Macaca fascicularis: one gene and its partners. The protein of the gene in region 1 binds, or shares a complex with, the protein of each later gene. Links are inferred from orthologs where the notes say so. Each region holds a gene or a part of one and is shown in the gene's direction. Other genes may lie near its edges.

Region 1 (2,279 bases):
CAGCAGCACCTGGGTGCCCCTCAGAGAGGAAGGTACCTCCAGCCTCTGCCCATGCGTGGAGCTGGCCCCCACACGTCCTCCCTCGTAAGCCCCTTGCTATTCTTGCAGCTGGTGTGAAGTTCCGTGTCCTGCAGCATGAGGCCGGCAGGCCCCTCCGCCTCCTGATGCAGGTGAGGCCCCCTGTGGCCAGGACGTCCTATGCTGCTGCCCCTGTTCTGGAACAGTGGGGTCAGCTGGGTGTAGTGTCTGGATGGCACCATGCCAGCCTGCGATGAGGCACAGGGAGGGTCCAGTGGAGCTGAGGGGCAAGGCCCACCCGGGAATACCCCCCCTTACCCGCAGGGCCTGAGGACACTGGTGTCCTGTGGATGGGGCCCATTCTGCCCTGTGTCAGAGGCGCCCTTGGCTGGCTGGGGCTGCCCTGGGTCCCACAGGGCTCAAGTTCTGGGTGGAGTAGAACCGACTGAGTGAGTCCTGGAGTGGGGTGTGTGTCCCTGCAGCACGGCCCCTCAGAGTTGGGCAGCCCCGAGGGGAGATGCAGCTCCTGCCTCCCCACAGTGCTCCCTTCTGGCTGCAGGCTCACCTGCCTCCCTGGGAACTGGGACCGGCCTGTCCCACAGGCGAGGGAATGTCTGGGACGGTGCTGGCCCTGCCCCACCACTGCCTGCCCCCGCCCTCTCTCTGCAGATGGGGTTGGAGCTCAGACCACCCCGCTGACCGCCGCCCTTGTCCTTCCAGATAAACCCACTGCCCTACAGCCGCGTGATGCACACCTACCGTCTCCCCAGCTGTGGCTGCCACCCCAAGGACTCCTGGGGTGCCCTGTGCCGCAAGCTGTTCTTTGGGGAGCTCATCTACCCCTGGAGGCAGAGAGGGGACAAGCAGGACTGAGGGAGCCGGCCGCCGGCTTGCCCAGAACCACTGCACAGCCACGGCCAGCCCTCTGCCAGGGTGGTGCCAGCTCAGCTGGCGCGCGGCCCGTGCTTTGTGGACGCTGCTGTATGCTCCCGAACACAGCAGGCCCTGCTATCACACCTTGGGCTTGGAGGTCATTGGGGGTGAGCAGATGTGGGGGTGGCCAGCCCAGCTGGCCGCGCTCCATCACTGGCACTGCCTGCCTTGAGACCCGCTTCCCGCCTGCTGCAGTCACCACGGTGGCGAGCACAGCAGCCCCAGGTGTGCAGAGCACTGCCCCATGCCCACCCTGCGTACCCAGGTCCAGAGGGCCCGGGCCCTGACTCCCTGAACCACACGGGGTTTATTTGCTGATGTTCCCTGGAGAGGTCGCTTTGTGAAGGAGCTGTCAGCAGGCCGTGGGCATTGCCAGGCTGCTGTGGGGGTGGGAGCAGCCTTAGTGTCAAGGGCCTGCCCACTGACCCAGCCATACCTCTCCGTGAGTGGTGCCCCTGCAGCAACAGGCCCTTGGGCCAAATCTCCTGTCTCCCATCGTGGGCCTCCCAGGGAAGGCGGAAGCCCTGCTGTGCAGACACGTCTGTGGGCCACGGGTGTGAGCAGCCTGGGAGGGGCTGTGGCACTGAAGCCAAAAGTGCCTGCCAGACAGCACGGCCTGGGTGCGGGGTTCCCTTCAGGAGGGGAGGCTGCAGGTGCCGGCTGGTGAGGGGATGACGCGCTGTGGGCGGGAGGAGGCAGCGCCCGTCTCAGCAGCACCAGGACCACTCCGGACTCCCTGGCGACCCAGCACTGGGGAAGCCGTCAGCTGCTGTGCAATAAAACCTGCCCCGTGTTTGGAGCGCAGGCTCCGCCCCGGGTCCACGTGCACCACGAGTCCAGGGAAGCTCCAAGGTGGGGATGCGGACGCTACCCGAGGGATTTGGGCTGCCTCACGTGGGCCTGCCCTGCGGAGTCGACGCCAGTTTCCTGCTCGAGGCCCTGACGACGGCTGATGGGATGAGCTCGCAAGTCCTGGGCCCCAGAGGACCTTGGTGTAGGCGGGTGAACCCGGGCCCCCCCACCCTGGGGTCATGGCCTTGCCCTGACATAGATGGCGCAGGGGTGTAGGCCTCCAGGGGCGGGGCGGGGCGGGGCGAGCAGCTCCAGCTCTGGGTCTGTGGAGTCCATGCGGGGTGGGGCCCTCATGGGTCCTGGCCCAGTAGAGCCTGCAGCTGCCACATCTGCTAAGAACGGTCTCCGTTGCCTGCAGTGCAGGGGCCCACCTGGCAGGCCCCACAGCCCATTCCCGGCCCGAAGTGTACAGGCTTCCATCCAACCTGGACTTCCAGGCAACCAGAGGCTGGACTCAGAGGCACTCGGAGCCCACC
Region 2 (2,750 bases), on another chromosome or scaffold:
CGCGACCGGCTGCTCTTTGCAATCACCCGGGGACCGTTTTAAAAATGCCGATTCCCCTGCAGCCCCCAAGACGGGCAGACTTGGAATGCTCGGGGGTTGGGACCTGAACATTTGTATTTTCTTTTTTTCCTTTTAAGAGACAGGGTGCCCCCCTACGTTGCCCAGACTGGCCTAGAACTCCCACCTCAGCCTCCTCAGGAGTCGGGAGACAGGCGCCGCCGCCACGCCCAGCTTATTTGTGTTCTTAAATGGTCCCTAAATGATTTCTAACGTACCACCAGGTTCTTGAATTACTGCGATTCAGGACAAGTCCAAAGCCATCCGGTTTTTAAGCCAAGATAATGAAAAGTATTTTACCCTCCAGATTCTTGTGAAAGTGTCTTGTACAACTGGTGCCTGACAATCTTAAGCAATTCAGCTGTGTATGCTGCCTGGTGGCTCTTAGTTGTGGCCTAGCAGATTTCTTAGAAGCCTCTTTAACCTAGTTTTTGGGAAGACAGCTCTACAGTTTCCAAGCTCCCAAAAATGGAATATTGACAACACTAACGCTAGTATTACAAATCGCATAAACGAAACACCAAAACGTTGTCAGTGGTTATCTTTGAGTGGTAGATTGCTAGCAATTTTTCATATTTCTTTTTTCCCATAATAAACATATTCAGTTTTCTCAAACCTTGAAATTATTTGATTTGCGTTTATAACTAGCTCACGGCAGACTTACTGCTTTCCAAAGTTTCCTCATTTCTGCCCTCTCACCTTTTCCAGTGATTTCCTTCTAATGGATTAGTTAAGTTTTTCTGCTTAGCATTTATTCTAAAACGAAGAAGTTGATTTTTCTCTAGTGTTTATTCCAGTAGTAAATTAACAGAGATGATTTGGGGGTTGACCAAAGTAATGAAGGAATATTTGGATAAGAGAGGGGGATCTTTTCTGACTAGTATGAAAAAAAAATTAAAGAATAACTTGTGAATAAGGTGAAAAAGAGAATATGAGAGAAACTGACTAAAATGGGAATAATTATAGATTCTAAGAGAATTTTTCTAAGATAAAAGGTTGAATTGGCTATCGTTGCTTTTAATGAAAGAAGACTATTCTGGGATTAACTCCATACCAAGAATTGGATAAATGATGGTATTTGTTGAAAATCAGGCTCTTCAATTATTTTATTTTTCCACAACTCATTTTGTTCTTTTTTTTTTCCACCCCAGATATGAAGCATCAACAAATGAATTGATTAATGAAGAGTTGGGAATAGCTTATCCAATCATTGATGGGATTCCTAATATGATACCACAGGCAGCTAGGATGACGCATCAAAGTAAGAAGCAGGAAGAAGTGGAGCAGCGCTAGTTCATAATTAAAAAAACATAAAACGCAACAGCCAACTTTTCTTAGTACCATATACCTTTTAAAACACAGTGGCAGGTAATAAGTGGAAGAGAAGAATGTTTCTGTCTCTTCCTACATTGACTGTTCTTATTCCACTGGTTTCTTTAACAGGACTGTTCTACTCAGCCTCTGTGGAAGAAAACTTCCCACAGGGCTGCACTAGCACAGCCAGCCTTTGCTTTTACAGCCTGCTCTTGCCTATTACCATACCAGTGTATGTATTCTTCCACCTTTGGACTTGGATGGGTATTAAACTCTTCAGGCATAATTGATGCAACTAGAGTCAATATGCTGTATACATTAATGGTAGTTCTTGGGCATCTATCTCTGAAAGCTCAAATGGATGGAATTGAGTTTGTGGGAAAGAGGCTTTGCTTTGCGCATATCAGGCTTAGGACTGTGGGAGGCTTAAGTTGCAGGTGCTTCTTTTATTGTGCTCTTGTTCTGCCCTTGTTTTTTGAAGGCTCTGACTTATAACTGCTGTATCAGAAGAAACATTTTGACAGTGTCTTGTTGGAGATAAACATCCCTAATTGACATGTGATGACTATTTCTTATTCCATTCATCTAAAAGTCATTGAAATTTTGTTTTGCTTGTTTGTTTAGCTTCAAGGTCTTTGGTAAAGTCACATGTTAGGGATGACTGAAATAATTCCAAAGGAGTGATGTTGGAATAGTCCCTGTAAGGGAGAGAAATGCATTTGAATGAATGTGATACAAAACCATATAATGAAATAGAAATTTCATGTACTTACAAAAATTGAGTTTGTAAAATTACCTTCATTTCTTTGACATTAAATGCTTATATTAGCAATAAAGATGTTGACACTTTCCCATAAAAAATAAACCAGTTTGTAATCATTTGTTTTGTTTATTTGTTTGGTCACAGAAGTGTTATTGATACTAAGGGAAGTTGTAAAACTGCACTAAATATAGCTGTGTTGAGAGAGGTACTTAATACCTAAAATAGAATCATTTCCTAGGAAAGTAGGGGGTGGGAAGACTTGCAAGTAGTGGATTGTGCCCTGTTGAGCTTAGAGCCATATTTTGAGCCACATTTCAGTTTATTTTCCCAGGACGCTGAATAACACCACTAAGGGCATGAGCATCGACACATTAATAGCCTCTGATTTTCCAGAACTTTCAGTAAGACTAATCGAGCATAGTATAATACTTCTGAAGTATAGTGTGTTTCAGTAGTTAACCCAGAGAAACCAAAGAACCGAATACAAACTTTATTTTTATTGGAATCTTATGTTAACAGAAACCTGAAACAGTGATTCTTCTGCATCAAAAAATTAAGACATGTTAGATGTGTTTTCTTTTGAATTAATTCAGGGTATACTGTAGTATAAATGACA
Region 3 (3,500 bases), on another chromosome or scaffold:
CACTGAGTAACTGAACAAATTTCTTAACCCCTTTAAGCTTTAGACTTTCCATTTTTAAGATGGAGTTGATAACTCATGGAGTTTTGGTGAGGCTGCAATAAGATATAGAAGACTCTTAGCATGTAGTGGCTGATGTATAGTGGCCATTTAATAAGTATTAATAGAAGCTGGTAAAGTGTAAGAGTAAAGGGGAAATATGTAAACCTGTGTGTATGGATGGTGTTTGTATATACTTAATTATTGGAAGAGACTGGTTTGTTGGGGACCATGATATGCTGTGGTGTAACAAACTTACTATTTAAAGTTACACATGTAGCAGTGTTTTTAGGACGAAATTAAGACATTGTAGAACCTAGTTTTGTTGTATATAAATGCCAAGCAAGTAAACGTCAAATGAGTAAATTGATGATATGCTTTGTTTTTAATTCTGGGGAAAAGCTAACAAATTTACATTAACATTAAAACAGTATCTGTATCTGGATTTGTAATAGGAATGTGTTTTGTTTCTGAGCTGAGATCCTGTTTTACTCTTTTTCAGGTAATAGAGGACACATCTCTTAACTGGGTTGCTCTAAGAACTGATGCCTAAACCATCTCAGTATGGCCTGTAGAGGAACAGCTGGGGATGGCCACCGTGCCTCAGCTACACCCTCTCGGGTTAGCCCTGGAAGTCTTTCCACATGTAGAACCCATGCCCATAATATATGCATGGTATCTGACTTTTTCTACCCAAATATGGGAGGCGTGGAAAGCCACATTTACCAGCTCTCACAGTGCCTGATTGAAAGAGGGCATAAGGTTATAATTGTCACCCATGCTTATGGAAATCGAAAAGGCATCCGTTACCTCACTAATGGCCTCAAAGTCTATTACTTGCCTCTGAAAGTCATGTACAACCAGTCTACAGCCACGACCCTCTTTCACAGTCTGCCATTGCTCAGGTACATATTCGTTCGGGAGAGAGTCACGATAATCCATTCACATAGTTCTTTTTCTGCCATGGCCCATGATGCTCTCTTCCACGCCAAGACAATGGGGCTTCAGACAGTCTTCACGGATCATTCCCTTTTTGGATTTGCTGATGTCAGCTCGGTGCTTACAAACAAGCTTCTAACCGTGTCTCTTTGTGATACAAACCACATCATTTGTGTGTCTTATACTAGTAAGGAAAATACTGTACTAAGAGCAGCACTGAATCCTGAAATAGTATCCGTCATTCCTAATGCTGTAGATCCTACTGACTTCACTCCAGACCCATTTAGAAGGCATGATAGTATAACTATTGTTGTTGTCAGCAGACTTGTTTACAGAAAAGGTAATGAAATGATAGCTATAATTGCATTGTAGAGTTTTTTCCCTGTAGAAAGCTGTTGAATACTTGTATGTAATGATTGTTTGGCTTTTCATTTTGTTTTATGGTTTTATAATGCTATAAATTATAGCAAAGAAAGTTCTAATATTGGTTTATATATCCAAGAAGAGAGATTTTTCAGGATGGTGGTGAATGCTGTCCCCCAACCTTTGATGTTTTAATGGTTACTAAAAATAAGAACAATAACCTGATGCTGTTACATTTCAGGTCTTTTTAAAAATAAAAACAGCCCTGCACATGTGGTAAAGAAGTAAAGGGCAGGCCGGGCATGGTGGCTCACGCCTGTAATCCCAGCACTTTGGGAGGCTGAGGTGGGCGGATCACGAGGTCAGGAGACTGAGAACATCCTGGCTAACATGGTGAAACCCCGTCTCTACTAAAAACACAAAAAATTAGCAGGGCGCGGTGGCGGGCACCTGTAGTCCCAGCTACTTGGGAGGCTGAGGCAGGAGAATGGTGTGAACCCGGGAGGCGGAGTTTGCAGTGAGCCAAGATCGTGCCACTGCACTCCAGCCTGGGTGACAGAACGAGACTCCATCTCAAAAAAAAAAAAAAAAAAAAAAAGAAGTAAAGGGCAGAGGTCACAGATGGCTTTTTTCTTCTGATTGCCAAAGTAATGTCTTTTCATTGCAGATATTTTGGAAACTAAGAAAAGCACAAAGATGAAAACTAAAATCAGCGGTAACTGTATTATTCAGAGATACCCTAATGAATATTTTGATTTATAGCTTTCCTGTCTTTTTTATGTGTACGTACATATACTGAAAATCAGTGAGTGGGCTTGCTCTGCACATTACTGTATTGTAGCTTGCTTGTTTCATTTCATCATGTATAAGACATTAATAACATATTGGCAGGTAAGTGATGAAGAAAAGGGGATTAGATGTCCCGGGATCAGATGATGGGTCTGTCCTGCTGTGTGATTGAGGACAAGTTGCTTAACATCTCTAAGTCTCAGTTTTTTTCATTTGTGTAATTTAAGCAACATTGGGAACCTCGGAAGGGTTCAGTGATAGTTCCTATAAACTATTAGCCTAGTTTGTAACTATCCACTATTATCAAGGAGGTTTTTTGGGTTTTGTTTTTGAGATGGAGTCTCGCACTGTCACCCCCTGGGCTGGAGCGCAGTGGTGCAATCTTGGCTCACTGCAACCTCTGCCTCCCAGGTTCTAGCGATCCTCCTGCTTTATCCTCCCAAGTAGCTGGGATTACAGGCGCCCACCACCATGCCCAGCTAATTTTTTGTATTTTTAGTAGAGACAGGGTTTCACTGTGTTGGCCAGGCTGGTCTCAAACTCCTGACCTCGTGATCCGCCTGCCTCGGCCTCCCAAAATGCTGGGATTACAGGCATGGGCCACTGCGCCTGGCCAAGGAGGCTGTTTTTTGTACCTCTACAGCACTTAATGGACACTGCAGTTGAATGTGTGGAGGCTTGTTTACTAAAAGTCTGACACAGTCTGGTTATAAAAAACAGTGTCTTCTGAGTGCTATTTGAAAACCTGTCCACTAATCAAAAGTGTCATTTATAGTAGGGAATCATTAAAAAAAAAAAAAAAACATACCCCCTTAAATATTTAATATTTGAATTTAACTCAAAATATTAATACACACTGAGTTGCCAGTAGTTGGATGTAGGACTGCCAGCTTTGAGTGCTGGGCCACTGGTTTCAGCTGCATCTTGTACACTCCCTTTCACAAAACATAATCTACCATTGCTACTTTGAGTTTCTTTTGAGTGGGGTCAGAACTTAAAGGCATATGAACTGATATGCTTCAGGAATTTTAATTTGTTTTCAGTTTTATACAGCAGTTTAGGACACCCCTCATCTGCCAAGAACTTTTTTCTGTGACTTTCCTTTATTGGATTTTTCAAACTGTTCAGCTTAGTTTTTGTAGAAACTCTTTTTATCAGTTTATGTGATATTGAATTAAATTACTCAACACGATGACAAGTACAACTGACATCAAACAGATGTGTGAACAAACACAACTGTTTCTTGATAAGCACTGAGCTCAGTGGTGTGCCAGTGTGCTAGGGAGTGGCCTAAAATCTAGATGTGGGCCTTGGTCAGTTTACGTTTGGAATGGAGAACCTTGATTGACCCAGCAGTCCATTTAAGTGGAGGT
Region 4 (4,279 bases), on another chromosome or scaffold:
TCCGCAGGAGTAAAATCTGTAAGATTTCTACCTCGTTTCCCTCGCCAGGATGTTGGGCAAAATGGAAAGCGATTTAGGTGAATGCCATAAAATACTCTACAAACCATTAAATATCATCAAGAACGGCTAAGGACAGCATCGCCCAGCAGGCGTGTGCATATATTTTGAAAGGTCTCTGCAACTGAGGGGGTTCTGACGTCCAGGGCGCCTCTGTTTGAAAACGCACGGCGAACTGGTACCAGCCCAAATTCACCTGTCTCGGCTCCATTTTTTATCTTTGATCCCTCTATTCTGTGCCCTGAACAGGCTGGCTGAAGAAGCCACACTGGCAGCGTCAACACTGCGGAGCAACTGGCAGCGTCAACACTGCGGAGCAACTCGCCAGACTCGATCCTGTCCACCCCCCTTCCCTTTAGCGTCTGTGGGGGAAGATGCTCAGAAAGAGGCGCGGGGGCGAGGGGAGCGGCGAGGTTACCCCCCTCCTGGGTCCGTTCCGTAGGGACAGGCCCTGGACTGGACTGCCAGTTCACACGAAAACAGGTGACAACAGAGTCGTGAACACACGCACACACAGCAAGGGATGTGCACGAACGTTCACGAACACGCACCAACGAAACCCGCACACAAGAGATACCCACTCGACAAAACTAAACCCGCACACATGAGATCACGCACTCGACAGAACCCATGCGCAGACACTCTGGGGACACTCGGAGACACGCGAGGACGCACACTCGCGCGAGCAAGGCTCTAGGCGGGGGTCGCGATTACAGGAGGCGCGGCCACGCGCGCTGGGGAACGCGCAGCCCACAGACATGGGCAGTGACACAAAGGGGGGGCCACCCGCGAGGCCGAGAGCGCCCCCGCAGCCGCCAGGGAGCGCGGACACCGACACAAAGGGGACCACGAGGCGACACGCGAGCGCGGGCCCCTCCACCCAGCAGGGGGTGTCAGCCACGCACCGGCCGAGGCACGGGCAGCGGGGGAATGCGCACAAAGCGACTACTCCCACCCTCGCTCCGGCATCCCAGGGCCTCGCTCGCAAAAGGGCACCAGACCAAGGGGACAAACCCACTGGGGCAGGCAATAGCGGCCACACCCCCTCATTGCGCGGGGCCCCAACCCATGCAGACACACAGCGGGCACCGCAGCGAGGAACGCGGGGTGACGCGCACACACCCACACTCACCACACACCCACGGAGGGGGTGTGGAATGCCCCACTCCCCCGGCATCTCGGCTGCAGCGGGACAAGGTGACACATCCGGGAGCCCGGCCGCGCGCCGGGTGTGCACTCACCCGGGCCCGCCGCCCGCGAGCCTCGGCGCAGGCAGCAGCCTCCGCCGCTGCTGCCGCCGCAGCCGGCACCTCCGGCCCTCCACGTCAGCCGACGGCGGGAGGGAGTGGGCGGCTGCGCTGAAGGGAGGTGCATCACGTGGGCGGGCAGCGCGCCTGCGCAGTCGCACCCCACCGCCCCCTCCTTCGCCGTGGCGATTCGCGGGATCACGCCGGCCTCGTGCCGCCCGGCTCCCACCCAGGGAGGGTCCTCGTGCGCCTGCGCCAAGGTGGGGGGTGTCGTTGCGCCTAGGCCTTTCCCTCAGGTTTTCCTCTTTTCTCCCCCACTGCGGCGCCTGGTCGGCCCTTGCGCAGAGAACTCAGCGCTGAGGTGGCCGAGGTGTCGAGAGGGGCCCGGGTGGGCGTACGAAGGACCCGAGGTCGAGGGCCCCCCCATACCCTGCCTCGAATGAGAAATATAAATCTCCACGAGTGGGCAGGGCCCGGGGCCTGGGCGCCGCGACCCAGCAGGCCCGCGTGCTGGTGGGCGCCGCGCGAGCCTTGTTCCCTGCCCTCCCCTCCCACAGGGAGACCACGCTGGCAGAGCTGGAGCGCGCCTCTGTCCCCCCGAGCCCCTCTCGCTGCCCTATCCCCCGCCACCCCTTCTGTTGCGGGGCGCGCGCCAACCTGGGTGCCTGTGTGCGCGCGAGGCGGGGGCGCGGGTTGCGGACGGGGGCGCGGGAGGCGGTTCTGTGCGGCGGGGGCCGTGCCCGCGGCGGAGCGATGGGGCGAGAATGGACCAATGGTGCCGGGGAGCACCTCGCTGATGGCTGATTGTGTTCCTTTTCCACAGGTTGTCTAAAGCCCCAGGAAAAATGGTGGAAAATTCACCGTCGCCATTGCCAGAAAGAGCGATTTATGGCTTTGTTCTTTTCTTAAGCTCCCAGTTTGGCTTCAGTAAGTACTTTCCTGATGGATGGCCAGGGGCTTTTTCTGGCGTTCAGTGACAAGGGAAGAATCCATTGGTTAGACTGTGTACACATGAACTGTTGATTCTTTCTCCCTATGTCTCTTTTTAAGAGAATCTGAAGGGAACTCGTGTTTGTTGAGTGTTCTGTGTGCCAGCACTAGCCTAGGAGGTTTTAGTCTCTACAAATATTTATACAGCGCCAGACGCGATGGCAAAGTGAATAAAGCCTGGTCCCTGCCCTTAAGGAGGTCGTGGTCTTGTGGAGGAGACAGATGAGTAAATCTACAGTTAGTGCTCAGTGTCAGGGGAGCACGGTGGAGAGACATTGAAACCAGACTGGAAAATCAAGGCTTTTACAGAGGCCTTTCCCCCTGGCACTGATGCTGGTTAGAAAAGAGTAGGAGAGAGGGACGACGTGGAAAGGCCGTGAATGAGGGCGTGAGAGGGTTTGGACCCGAGGAGCTTGGTATGGCACCAGTGTGCCCTGCGGGGATCTGGGGAACAAAAGAAGTAGCCCAGAGAAGTCAGGTTGAAAGGTGTGTCCTTTTCGTCCTGGATCTCCCTTAATCCCCATAACGTTCCGTTTTACAGATACGGAGACTGACGCTCACTGAGACACTAGTATGCTCAGTCACACAGCAAGCCCCAAGTCTCTCCCCAAAAGGATTTGGGAATTTTGAGGCACACAAGAGGGAGAAAATTGAGTGCCCCTGATCCAGCGTTTTGCAACTCTTTGGAAACTAGGAAAGTGGAGGAGTGGTAGTACTTCTGAACCCTAACTAAAATATATCAGCCTGCACCATCAGTACAGCTTGCAGATGAATGTAATGGCCAGGCTGTTACAACTGAAATGAAGTGAAGAAGTTACAACTGAGTTCAAATTCTGACTCCTCCACAGATTACCCATGTGAGCTGGGACGCTCAGCAAATTTTTTGAATCTCAGGTTCCTTATCTGTAAAAGGTTAGTGATAATGATGGTTATTAAATGCTTATGACACATGAAACAGTTCTATGGGGTAGGTTCTGTTATTATTGTCCTTTAAAGATGAGCATCCTGTGGTTTCAGTAACTTACTCAAGATTGCAAAGCTACTAAATGATAGGCCTCTAAATTTGAACCCAAATACACCGACTGACTTCACTCTGCTGCCTCTTCTGACTGTTGTGAGGATTAACCGGGGTAATTTATGTAAAGCATGTAAAATAATGCCTAGGAACGGTTAAGGACTTAATAAGTGTTAGCTACTGATGTTATTGTTAGCAACTTTCGTAAATCCTTGTTCAAAGAATGTATCAAGGATTAGAAGCTATATGAATAAATAAAAGCAATCACTTTAAGACTTAAATTCTGGCCAGCGCAGTGGCTCACGCCTGTAATCCCAGCACTTTGGGTGGCCGAGGCAGGCATATCACCTGAGGTCGGGAGTTTGAGACCAGCCTGACCAACATGGAAAAACCCCGTCTCTACTAAAAATACAAAATTAGCAGGGCATGGTGGCGCATGCCTGTAATCCCAGCTACTCTGGGAGGCTGAGGCAGGAGAATCGCTTGAACCTGGGAGGGGGAGGTTGCGGTGATCGCACCATTGCACTCCAGCCTGGGCAACAAGAGCGAAACTCTGTCTCAAAAAAAAAAAAAAAATTAAATTCCATGATACACACAACCAAAAAGTAATTCAAGTATTTATTGGTGCTTACCATGTGCCAGGCACTGTTACAGGCTAGGAAGGACCAAAACAGCCAAAAATGCCCTGCTTTCATAGAGTTTTTATTCTAACGCTGGGGGGAGATAGTCAATGGACAAATTAAATAAGAAAAACGTATACAGTATCAGGTGATAAAGTACCATGGGGAGAAATTAAGCAAGGGGAAGGAGGATACGGAGTGGAAGGAGGGCCTTTTAATGTGCTGCTGTGTCTTTTTTTTTTTTTTTTTTTTTTTTTTTTTTTTTTGAGACGGAGTCTCGCTCTGCCGCCTAGGCTGGAGGTGCAGTGGCGCGATCTCGGCTCACTGCAAGCTCCGCCTCTCGGGTTCAC
Region 5 (4,175 bases), on another chromosome or scaffold:
GGCCGAGCGCGATGCTCACACCTGTAACCCAAGCACTTTTGGAGGCTGAGGTGGGCGGATCACCTGAGGTCAGGAGTTTGATACCAACCTAGCCAACACGGTGAAAACCCATCTCTACTAAAAACACAAAAATTAGCTGGACGTGTTGGCACGCGCCTATAGTCCCAGCTACTCGGGAGGCTGAGGCAAGAGAATCACTTGAACCCAGGAGGCGGAGGTTGCAGTGAGCTGAGAACACGCCACTGCACTCCAGCCTGGCCGACAGTGAGACTCCCATCTCTGGGGGAAAAACAAAAAAACAAAAAAAACCTCTTACTTTGGGCCAAGCCTCCACGGGGTGCCAGGGATACAGCAGCAATCTCAGATCCTACCCTCAGGGAGCTGACAGGGCCGGATGAACAAGTGTGTCAGTGAATTAAAAGGCACAGGAGGCTGGGCACGGTGGCTCACGCCTGTAAACTTTTGGAGGCCGAGTTGGGAGGATCGCTTGAGCCCAGGAGTTCGACACCAGCCTGGGTAACATAGAACTCCGTTTCTAAGAAAGAAAAAAAACCCTTCCCAGCTGGCTTCCCTGGGGAACGTGGCGTCCCAGTGAGGCTGGATGGATGGGGAGCAGCCGGCCGGTGAGTGGTGGGGGCCCGCGTTCCTATCTCGGAGCTGAAGAAGCGTGGAAGATGATCTGGCCCAACATCCCTTTGTTCTCAGAGGAAGGATCCTCCAAGATCGGGGAGGGGCCTGTGCGTGGGTTCTGGTCCGAAACATGTCTGGGCTGCTGCGAGAGGCAGCCGGTGAAGGAAAGGAGGGGACATCCAGAGGGTGGCCCAGGAGGCCAGGCGATGGTGAGGAGGGCGCCCCCTCTCCACCAATCCAAATCCTCCCCATTCATGCGGGCTGGGGACAGACCCTCCCCCGCCCATCCTAGGCTGAAAAGTGAACATTCTCTGCGCCTCTCCCACCTACAGACTAGTTACGGCCCCCCAGTTCCCGTGTCGGCTTCACCACTGACTCGGATTGGGATCTACCTTTCTCTGAGCCTCGCTTTTCCCATCTGAAAAATGGAACTTCCGATCCCGCACTCCCATCTCACTCTGACCCCAGGACTTTGGGATACTTAGAGATTGGCTTTTGGTGGGGCGGCGACAGGACTGTGGCCATGAAGGCCAGGGAGTCTGGGTCCCCAACTCGGTCCCATTCCCTAGGGAGATTCGGGCAGCAACCGGCCCCACAATGCTCTTGAGAACTACACTTCCTCGATATGCAAAGGGGAGGAGGCGGTTCCTGCTAGTCTCCGACGACGTGGGCCTGAGCCGGCCTGGGGACTACGACTCCCGGCGCGCTCCGCAGCCCAAAGCCGGAAAAGCGTGAATCCGGAACCGGATGTGGCTTGCGGCTCCGGTGACTGAACGCGCGGGGAAATGGTGAGATTGGGACAGAGTGCCGGAGATAGGGGCGTCTGGGGGTGGGGTCTCGGGTACTCAGAAGCTGGGGCATGGGCACTGGAACGGGGATTGCTCTCCCGCCCCCCCTATTGTACGGACGATAACGCGGAGGCCTGGCATTCTCTCCCAGCCTAGAAACTGATCCCTAGTCAGCCCTCTAGCATCTTTTTTTTTTTTTTTTTTTTTTTTTTTTTGAGACGGAGTCTCGCTCTGTCGCCCAGGCTGGAGTGCAGTGGCGGGATCTCAGCTCACTGCAAGCTCCGCCTCCCGGGTTCCCGCCATTCTCCTGCCTCAGCCTCCCGAGTAGCTGGGACTACAGGCGCCCGCCACCTCGCCCGGCTAGCTTTTTGTATTTTTTAGTAGAGACGGGGTTTCACCCTGTTAGCCGGGATGGTCTCGATCTCCTGACGTCGTGATCCGCCCGTCTCGGCCTCCCAAAGTGCTGGGATTACAGGCTTGAGCCACCGCGCCCGGCCTCCTCTAGCATCTGTTGAATGGGAAGCTTAGACCGTGATTGGGCCGCGACGCCCCGCCTCCATTAGTACGCCAAAATAGAGAGTCACTTCGTCAGCTGAGACCTCCCTTTTCTCCAGGCCACGGGGACAGACCAGGTGGTGGGACTCGGCCTCGTCGCCGTTAGCCTGATCATCTTCACCTACTACACCGCCTGGGTGATTCTCTTGGTATGTCATTCTCCCCGTCCGCTGCTCACCTTCCCGTAGCCCTGGCACCGCCAAAGCAACTTCTATGTAGGTTCTAGGCACGGCGCTGGCTTCATTGCCTGCCTTATCTCTTGAAATCTTCAAAACAACGCTATGAGGAAGATGCCAGTGGTGCCGCATTTTTTAGATGAGATAGCTGAGGCTCGGGGAGAAGGATCTGGCCCAAGATTGCATCCTTAGCCGCTACACTTAAAACTCTGTTTCCAGCTTGCTTTGACTTTTGGGGGAGTTATGTTCCTTCTGGGTTAGCCTGCTGACTCAGGCATGGCGAGCGCCAGTGATATCTGTGAAGGCCTTTAGGATATTTTTTTCTTGTGGGAAAACGTGTTGGTCATTGCTTAAGAAGTGCAGTGTGTTTGGAAGTGCAGAACTTGCTATCCTTTAGGGAAAAAATATTAGTGAAGAATCCCTGGAGGCCCAGGTTGGGAGTCAGTCGAGGATTCCTCATGTACTATTTGCTAGCCTGTGAGTGCCTTAGGGCTGGTCTCTTGTCCCCTGTTCTCTTGTCCCCACCACCAACCTATGGCAGGCACCAAAGCAAGTGCCCGGTAAATACCAATAAGAAATTAAGGAAGGAAACAAACCATGACACCCAAATGCCATAATCTTAAAGAAAAGCAAATGCAGGCCCAGTGCTCTGAATGGGCCAGCCCCTTAGATGCTAGAGGTGGTGTGTTTGGGCTTGGGGGCTGGGCAAGGCGAGCAAGGCTCACCAGAGCTCTGCCCTCGATGCCAGCCATTCATCGACAGTGAGCATGTCATCCACAAGTATTTCCTGCCCCGAGCCTATGCTGTCGCCATCCCACTGGCTGCAGGCCTCCTACTGCTCCTGTTTGTGGGTAAGTCATCACTTCCTCCCCTTGACCCCGGGCAGGGTTTCGGGGGGACCCCACCTCTGAACATGCTTCCACACTTTGGCACTGCTGGAAGCTCCTTGCCCCGAACTCACCCCTGGGGTTTTCCTGTTCATCCTTCGAGGTTGCCAGTCAGTAACCTCTGGGTTTCCTGGTGCCCCAGGCTTTTTGGACTCCAATGACCTGTCCCCCTCTTTCCTGCCCCCAACCCCATCATTGCTCTGCTCACACCTCAGTCACCCTCTTGTCACCCTGGCTTCTAATTCCTGCACCTCTCTCTCTCATGGCTTCCTAGGGGCGGGGACTGTGTCTCCATCATTACTGTGCATCTAGAATGGGCTGTGGCACTGAGGTTGTGCTCAGAAAGTCATTTGGATGAGTCAGTCAATAGCCGGGTGCCTGGATGATGGGTGGATGGATGGGTGGGTGGGTGAGGTATAGGAGGTGGGTAGGTATATAGGTGGACAAGTGGTTGACTGGGTGATCTATAGATGGGTGGATCTTGTTCCCCTTGGAATCTGAAACACTAAATGCAGCATCTTTGCCTGAGGCAGGCACTCAGCTGGTGTTTGTTGAATGAATGTGAGTGGACCTATGGCTTGACGAATGACTAGGGAGATAAGCAGGTTCCCTGGAGAGTGGTTGGGTAGGTTCACAGCCCTGCGTGTGGGTGGCTCTGCTGTGTCGTGCCCTGGCCTCCCAGCAGCCCTGAGCTTAGATCTTATGTGGCCTTTCTGGTCTATGTATTCCAGGACTGTTCATCACCTACGTGATGCTGAAGAGCGAGAGGGTGACCAAGAAGGCTCAGTGAAGGTCCCGCGGGGATGAGGCTGCCAGCCCCTTCTCTGCTTCCCCTCCAGCACAGGGACCAAGTAGGGGAGCCTGCAGAACCTGTCCAGGCACAGTGGCGCCTCCAGCCTGCCTGTCCTGCAGAGTCCCCATGACATGGAGCTTACCCCTGCCTGACCGGAGCCCCCTCCCTGACTCTCACTTCCAGAAGCTAGGAGGGAGGAATACCTGGAAGACTCCAGTCACCCCCTTCTTGCTCAGGGCCTAAAAGATGCTGGTCTCCCAACCTCACTCTCAGACTCCCTGCCACCTTTTCCCCCGGGTTTTGCCATGTTGCCTCACTTCCCCTCCTGTCACATGCTGACATTGGA
Region 6 (3,948 bases), on another chromosome or scaffold:
TCCGTACAAGACCCTCTTGGATCTGACCCCTACCTACCTCCCCCATTTCCAACTGTTTTCCTCACATATCAACCTTTCTGGCCTTTTGATTATTTCATTAAGCCAAGTTTGTTCCAATTTCGAGGGGTTTGTCTTTCCTGGTCTTCCTTTCTGGCAAATTCCTCCTCCAGAGCTCCTTCAGTCCTGTCTGGTTCCTCACCCTTTGTAACTCCAGTGTCCTCTTAGAGACTTCCCATGACTGCCCTATGTAAAGTCCTCAGTCAATCCCTGCCAGTCAGCATAGTATTGCCAACAATATTCTCAAGTTATTTCCATATTGTCTCCTACTAGAAAGGAAGCTACTTGAGGGCAGAGACTGTCATCAACATCGTTCACTGCTGCATCCTCAGCACCTCAAACTACCCGGCACAGGAAAAAAGTGGAATGAATACCCGTGGACTCTTCTTGCGTCTTTCCGGCTTAGAGAAATCACCTTGCCAAGCAAAAGCGTGATTAAAACTGTGGGTTTGGGCTGGGTGCGGTAGCTCACGCCTGTAATCTCAGTACTTTGGGAGGCCGAGGCGGGCGGATCACCTGGGGTCAGGAGTTCGAGACCAACCTGGCCAATATGGTGAAACCCCGTCTCTACTAAAAACCCAAAAATCAGCCGGGCATGGTGGCGCACGCCTGTAATCCCAGCTACTCAGAAGGCTGAGGCAGGATAATCGCTTGAACCCGGGGGACGGAGGTTGCAGTGAGCCGAGTTCGCGCCATTCCATCTCAAAACAAAAACAAAAAACAAACTGTGGATTTGCTTGTTTTTAGACAGGGTCTTGCTCTGCCGCACAGATTAGAGAGCAGTGGCATGATCTCGGCTCACTGCAACCTCGACCTCCCAGGCTCAAGCGATCCTCCCACCTTGGCCTCTCAAAGTGCTGGACTACAGGCGGGAGCCAACGCGCCCGGTCTAAAAACGGTTTTAATCCGTCCGCTGAACTATTGCCCCCGACGGGCTTTGTTCGAAGACAATCACAGAAGCCGGGTCAAGGCCGGCCCGGACGAATGCACAGTCATCAACCCCACACAGGGTTCTCGGCGCGCAACTGAGGCTGCGCAGGCTTAGGGCGGGGCATGGTGACGCGGCTGCCGGAAGCGGGTCTGGAGCAGGCGAGACGCCTAGAGCGGGCGATCGCTGTGGAGCGCCGCGCGGTGCGGTGCTGGCGGCCGAGTCGGGGCATCATGGAGGATGAGCGGAGCTTTTCGGATATCTGCGGCGGCCGCCTGGCCCTGCAGCGCCGCTACTACTCCCCGTCCTGCCGGGAATTCTGCCTCAGCTGCCCTCGGCTCTCGCTGCGTTCGCTCACCGCTGTCACCTGCACGGTGTGGCTGGCGGCCTACGGACTCTTCACCCTCTGCGAGGTAAGGGCAAGTCGGCCCCTCCCCGCGGTCGAAGGAGGGGGTTCGGCTTTGGGAGGGTCTTTGGGATCTTTGGTCGAGCCCGGACCTCTGGTCGGCCCCTCCTACAATGATAGAACAGAAGGGCGGGAACTCACGGGTTCTGGGGACGACAGGGGACGACATTCCGCTGCTGGACAGCTCTTTAAATGACGTTTAGTGAAGTGTGTGCTCCTGGACAGTACCTTCCCTCTCCGTGGCTGTGCTCTGCTCGGTGGGTTCACTCAGCACACATCTAGTTCTTGCACGACGGTATAAAACTTTAACTTGCATGTGTTCTATGTAGTATAGGCGCGCAGTAATTTAATTCCAGGAGTTCAGGGAACTCTTAAGTGAGTCTTCCTTGTCCATCACTTCTGCTCCTCAAAGTAGTACTGCTAACAATACTTTATGTAGACTTCCACAAACTGTCTTTGCCTCCACAAGTGTGTGTGTTTATCCGTGTGTATAGATAGTGTTAGAGTTCTTCCTAATCTCTGTTTTTCAAGGCAGTTTTTTAACCCTCCGTCCTCCCAAACCCTTCCCCAATTTCAAGTACTTTCTAAAGGATTATGAAATTTTGGACGTGTGTGATATCTGTGCTCAATTTCCAGATTCATTCCTGTTTTCTTTGAGCCTCAATTTTCTATATCTCTAATAATAGAATTCATGCCTGCCATACCAGCTTCATGATATCGTGAGGGTTAAATGCAGTAACTTTGTGACAGCTCTCAAATAAAAAGAATTATCCCAGTTTCCCTTTTCAGGATGAGTTCTAGTTTCATATGTAGTGCCTGAATTGAATGTATTATCCCAGAAGTGATCTTATCAGAGCTAAGTACAGCAGGGCTATTTATTTCTGTAACTTGGATATTGTTTCCATTACTGCATCCATTAGCTTTTTTGCTGTCAAAGCATGTTTCAGAGCATGGTAATTTAGCATAGAAATATGCAGAATTAAGACTGCCCTAATTGTAGGAAACTGTATCTAACTGTATCTAAACTGTATGTTTGTTCAGGCGAAGGGCTGTACCTCACGCCTGTAATCCCAGCACTTTGGGATGCTGAGGCGGGCGGATCACTTGAGGTCAGGAGTTCGATACCAGCCTGGCCAACATGGTGAAACCACGTCTTTACGAAAAATACAAAAATTAGCTGGGCGTGGTGGCTCACGCTTGTAGTGCCAGCTACTCGGGAGGCTGAGGCGGGAGAATTGCTTGAATCTGGTAGGCGGAGGTAGCAGTGAGCTGAGATCACGCCACTGCACTCCACCTGGGCAACAGAGGGAGACTCTGTCTCAAAAAAAAAAAAAAAAAGAAAGAAAAAAGTTTATTCATAAGTCTGTTAAAATGATTAAGTTGATAGCCCCCCTAGAATTTAATTTACAGTATAGTTGAATTTTAGTACTAGCCTGAGTTTTTTTTTTTTGAGACAGAGTCTCGCTTTGTTGCCCAGGCTGGAGTGCAGTGGCGCGATTTTGGCTCACTGCAAGCTCCACCTCCTGGGTTCACACCATTCTCCTGCCTCAGTCTCCTGAATAGCTGGGACTACAGACACCCGCCACCACACCCGGCTAATTTTTTTTGTATTTTTAGTAGAGACGGGGTTTCACTGTGTTAGCCAGGGTTTCACTGTGTTAGCCAGGATGGTCTCGATCTCCTGACCTTGTGATCCTCCCACCTCGGCCTCCCAAAGTGCTGGGATTACAGGCGTGAGCCACCGCGCCCAGCCTAGCCTGAGTTCTTATAGCCTATGTGTGTGGTCATGTGAGGAGGAGGAAATAGATATTTATTAAATGCCCACTGAGTGCCAGATGCTTTTCTGAATTCCTTACTTTAGCCCTAGAACGAAGAAAACCAAAGCTCACAAAGAAGGGTGAGTTATCCAAAGTCTCAAAGCAGTAAATGGCAGATCTGGGCTTCCAACCCAGGGCTTTCTGACTCTGAGACCCTTTCTTTTCCTTTATACCATTGTATAGTTGATCTTAGGCAAAATTTAAAAACAAAAATCTGTTTTTGTGCCAGGTCCCTTCTGTACTTATCTCTCTCATCCTGGTGTACTCTGCTTACCCCTATCAAGTACCCCAGGACTCAGTGACCACATCTTCCTTTAAACTCTACTGCAATACTTTCTAAGGGCTCTGTGTGCCAAAATTTCTTACCTTTCCTATTCAGAACTGCTTATGAGAGTAATGAATATCTGGAATGAGAAGAAATCTGATTGAAGGAATTCATTCAAACATACAGCTTAACCCCAACCCAAATGAATATTGAATTGTTTCAATTCTACACAGTAAAATGAAGTTGAAAAAAATGCAGATAGTAGGGCATGGATTGCTCTTATTGGAAAGCTGACGTGATCAAATCCTTAAGGATTTACTGTTCTTCATCCCTACATTCCTTCTTGTTTTTAAGTTCACAGTTCTATTAAAGTTCCAGGTTGTTCCCTTGTTTATTCCAACCTGGAATGTTCTTCCCCCTTCCCTTTCAACTAATTATATTGGTCACTAACCACCACCTCCCCTGCACCAATTAA

Evidence for each region.
Region 2: PIGQ (region 1) and PIGY share a complex: the UniProt entries of both Homo sapiens proteins name them as parts of the glycosylphosphatidylinositol-N-acetylglucosaminyltransferase (GPI-GnT) complex. The link is inferred for Macaca fascicularis from reciprocal best matches to the Homo sapiens genes PIGQ and PIGY.
Region 3: PIGQ (region 1) and PIGA share a complex: the UniProt entries of both Homo sapiens proteins name them as parts of the glycosylphosphatidylinositol-N-acetylglucosaminyltransferase (GPI-GnT) complex. The link is inferred for Macaca fascicularis from reciprocal best matches to the Homo sapiens genes PIGQ and PIGA.
Region 4: PIGQ (region 1) and PIGP share a complex: the UniProt entries of both Homo sapiens proteins name them as parts of the glycosylphosphatidylinositol-N-acetylglucosaminyltransferase (GPI-GnT) complex. The link is inferred for Macaca fascicularis from reciprocal best matches to the Homo sapiens genes PIGQ and PIGP.
Region 5: PIGQ (region 1) and DPM2 share a complex: the UniProt entries of both Homo sapiens proteins name them as parts of the glycosylphosphatidylinositol-N-acetylglucosaminyltransferase (GPI-GnT) complex. The link is inferred for Macaca fascicularis from reciprocal best matches to the Homo sapiens genes PIGQ and DPM2.
Region 6: PIGQ (region 1) and PIGH share a complex: the UniProt entries of both Homo sapiens proteins name them as parts of the glycosylphosphatidylinositol-N-acetylglucosaminyltransferase (GPI-GnT) complex. The link is inferred for Macaca fascicularis from reciprocal best matches to the Homo sapiens genes PIGQ and PIGH.

What each region holds. Positions count from the first base shown.
Region 1 is NC_088394.1:1,334,782-1,337,060, forward strand, and holds the end of PIGQ (phosphatidylinositol N-acetylglucosaminyltransferase subunit Q), read left to right. Parts: intron 1-108; coding exon 109-170; intron 171-738; coding exon 739-891; 3' UTR 892-1,779; downstream 1,780-2,279. UniProt on the Homo sapiens protein: Part of the glycosylphosphatidylinositol-N-acetylglucosaminyltransferase (GPI-GnT) complex that catalyzes the transfer of N-acetylglucosamine from UDP-N-acetylglucosamine to phosphatidylinositol and participates in the first step of GPI biosynthesis.
Region 2 is NC_088379.1:94,070,560-94,073,309, reverse strand, and holds PIGY (phosphatidylinositol N-acetylglucosaminyltransferase subunit Y), read left to right. Parts: upstream 1-1,350; 5' UTR 1,351-1,445; coding exon 1,446-1,661; 3' UTR 1,662-2,250; downstream 2,251-2,750. Other genes in the region: PYURF (protein preY, mitochondrial), read left to right, coding at 1,209-1,350. UniProt on the Homo sapiens protein: Part of the glycosylphosphatidylinositol-N-acetylglucosaminyltransferase (GPI-GnT) complex that catalyzes the transfer of N-acetylglucosamine from UDP-N-acetylglucosamine to phosphatidylinositol and participates in the first step of GPI biosynthesis.
Region 3 is NC_088395.1:15,133,792-15,137,291, reverse strand, and holds part of PIGA (phosphatidylinositol N-acetylglucosaminyltransferase subunit A), read left to right. Parts: intron 1-538; 5' UTR 539-600; coding exon 601-1,315; intron 1,316-2,005; coding exon of another isoform or gene 2,006-2,053; intron 2,054-3,500. UniProt on the Homo sapiens protein: Catalytic subunit of the glycosylphosphatidylinositol-N-acetylglucosaminyltransferase (GPI-GnT) complex that catalyzes the transfer of N-acetylglucosamine from UDP-N-acetylglucosamine to phosphatidylinositol and participates in the first step of GPI biosynthesis.
Region 4 is NC_088377.1:9,901,903-9,906,181, forward strand, and holds the start of PIGP (phosphatidylinositol N-acetylglucosaminyltransferase subunit P), read left to right. Parts: upstream 1-1,479; 5' UTR 1,480-1,743; coding exon 1,744-1,817; intron 1,818-2,127; coding exon 2,128-2,231; intron 2,232-4,279. UniProt on the Homo sapiens protein: Part of the glycosylphosphatidylinositol-N-acetylglucosaminyltransferase (GPI-GnT) complex that catalyzes the transfer of N-acetylglucosamine from UDP-N-acetylglucosamine to phosphatidylinositol and participates in the first step of GPI biosynthesis.
Region 5 is NC_088389.1:16,050,654-16,054,828, forward strand, and holds the start of DPM2 (dolichol phosphate-mannose biosynthesis regulatory protein), read left to right. Parts: upstream 1-1,375; 5' UTR 1,376-1,415; coding exon 1,416-1,418; intron 1,419-2,032; coding exon 2,033-2,122; intron 2,123-2,897; coding exon 2,898-3,000; intron 3,001-3,767; coding exon 3,768-3,826; 3' UTR 3,827-4,175. UniProt on the Homo sapiens protein: Regulates the biosynthesis of dolichol phosphate-mannose. Regulatory subunit of the dolichol-phosphate mannose (DPM) synthase complex; essential for the ER localization and stable expression of DPM1.
Region 6 is NC_088381.1:135,501,309-135,505,256, reverse strand, and holds the start of PIGH (phosphatidylinositol N-acetylglucosaminyltransferase subunit H), read left to right. Parts: upstream 1-1,148; 5' UTR 1,149-1,218; coding exon 1,219-1,398; intron 1,399-3,948. UniProt on the Homo sapiens protein: Part of the glycosylphosphatidylinositol-N-acetylglucosaminyltransferase (GPI-GnT) complex that catalyzes the transfer of N-acetylglucosamine from UDP-N-acetylglucosamine to phosphatidylinositol and participates in the first step of GPI biosynthesis.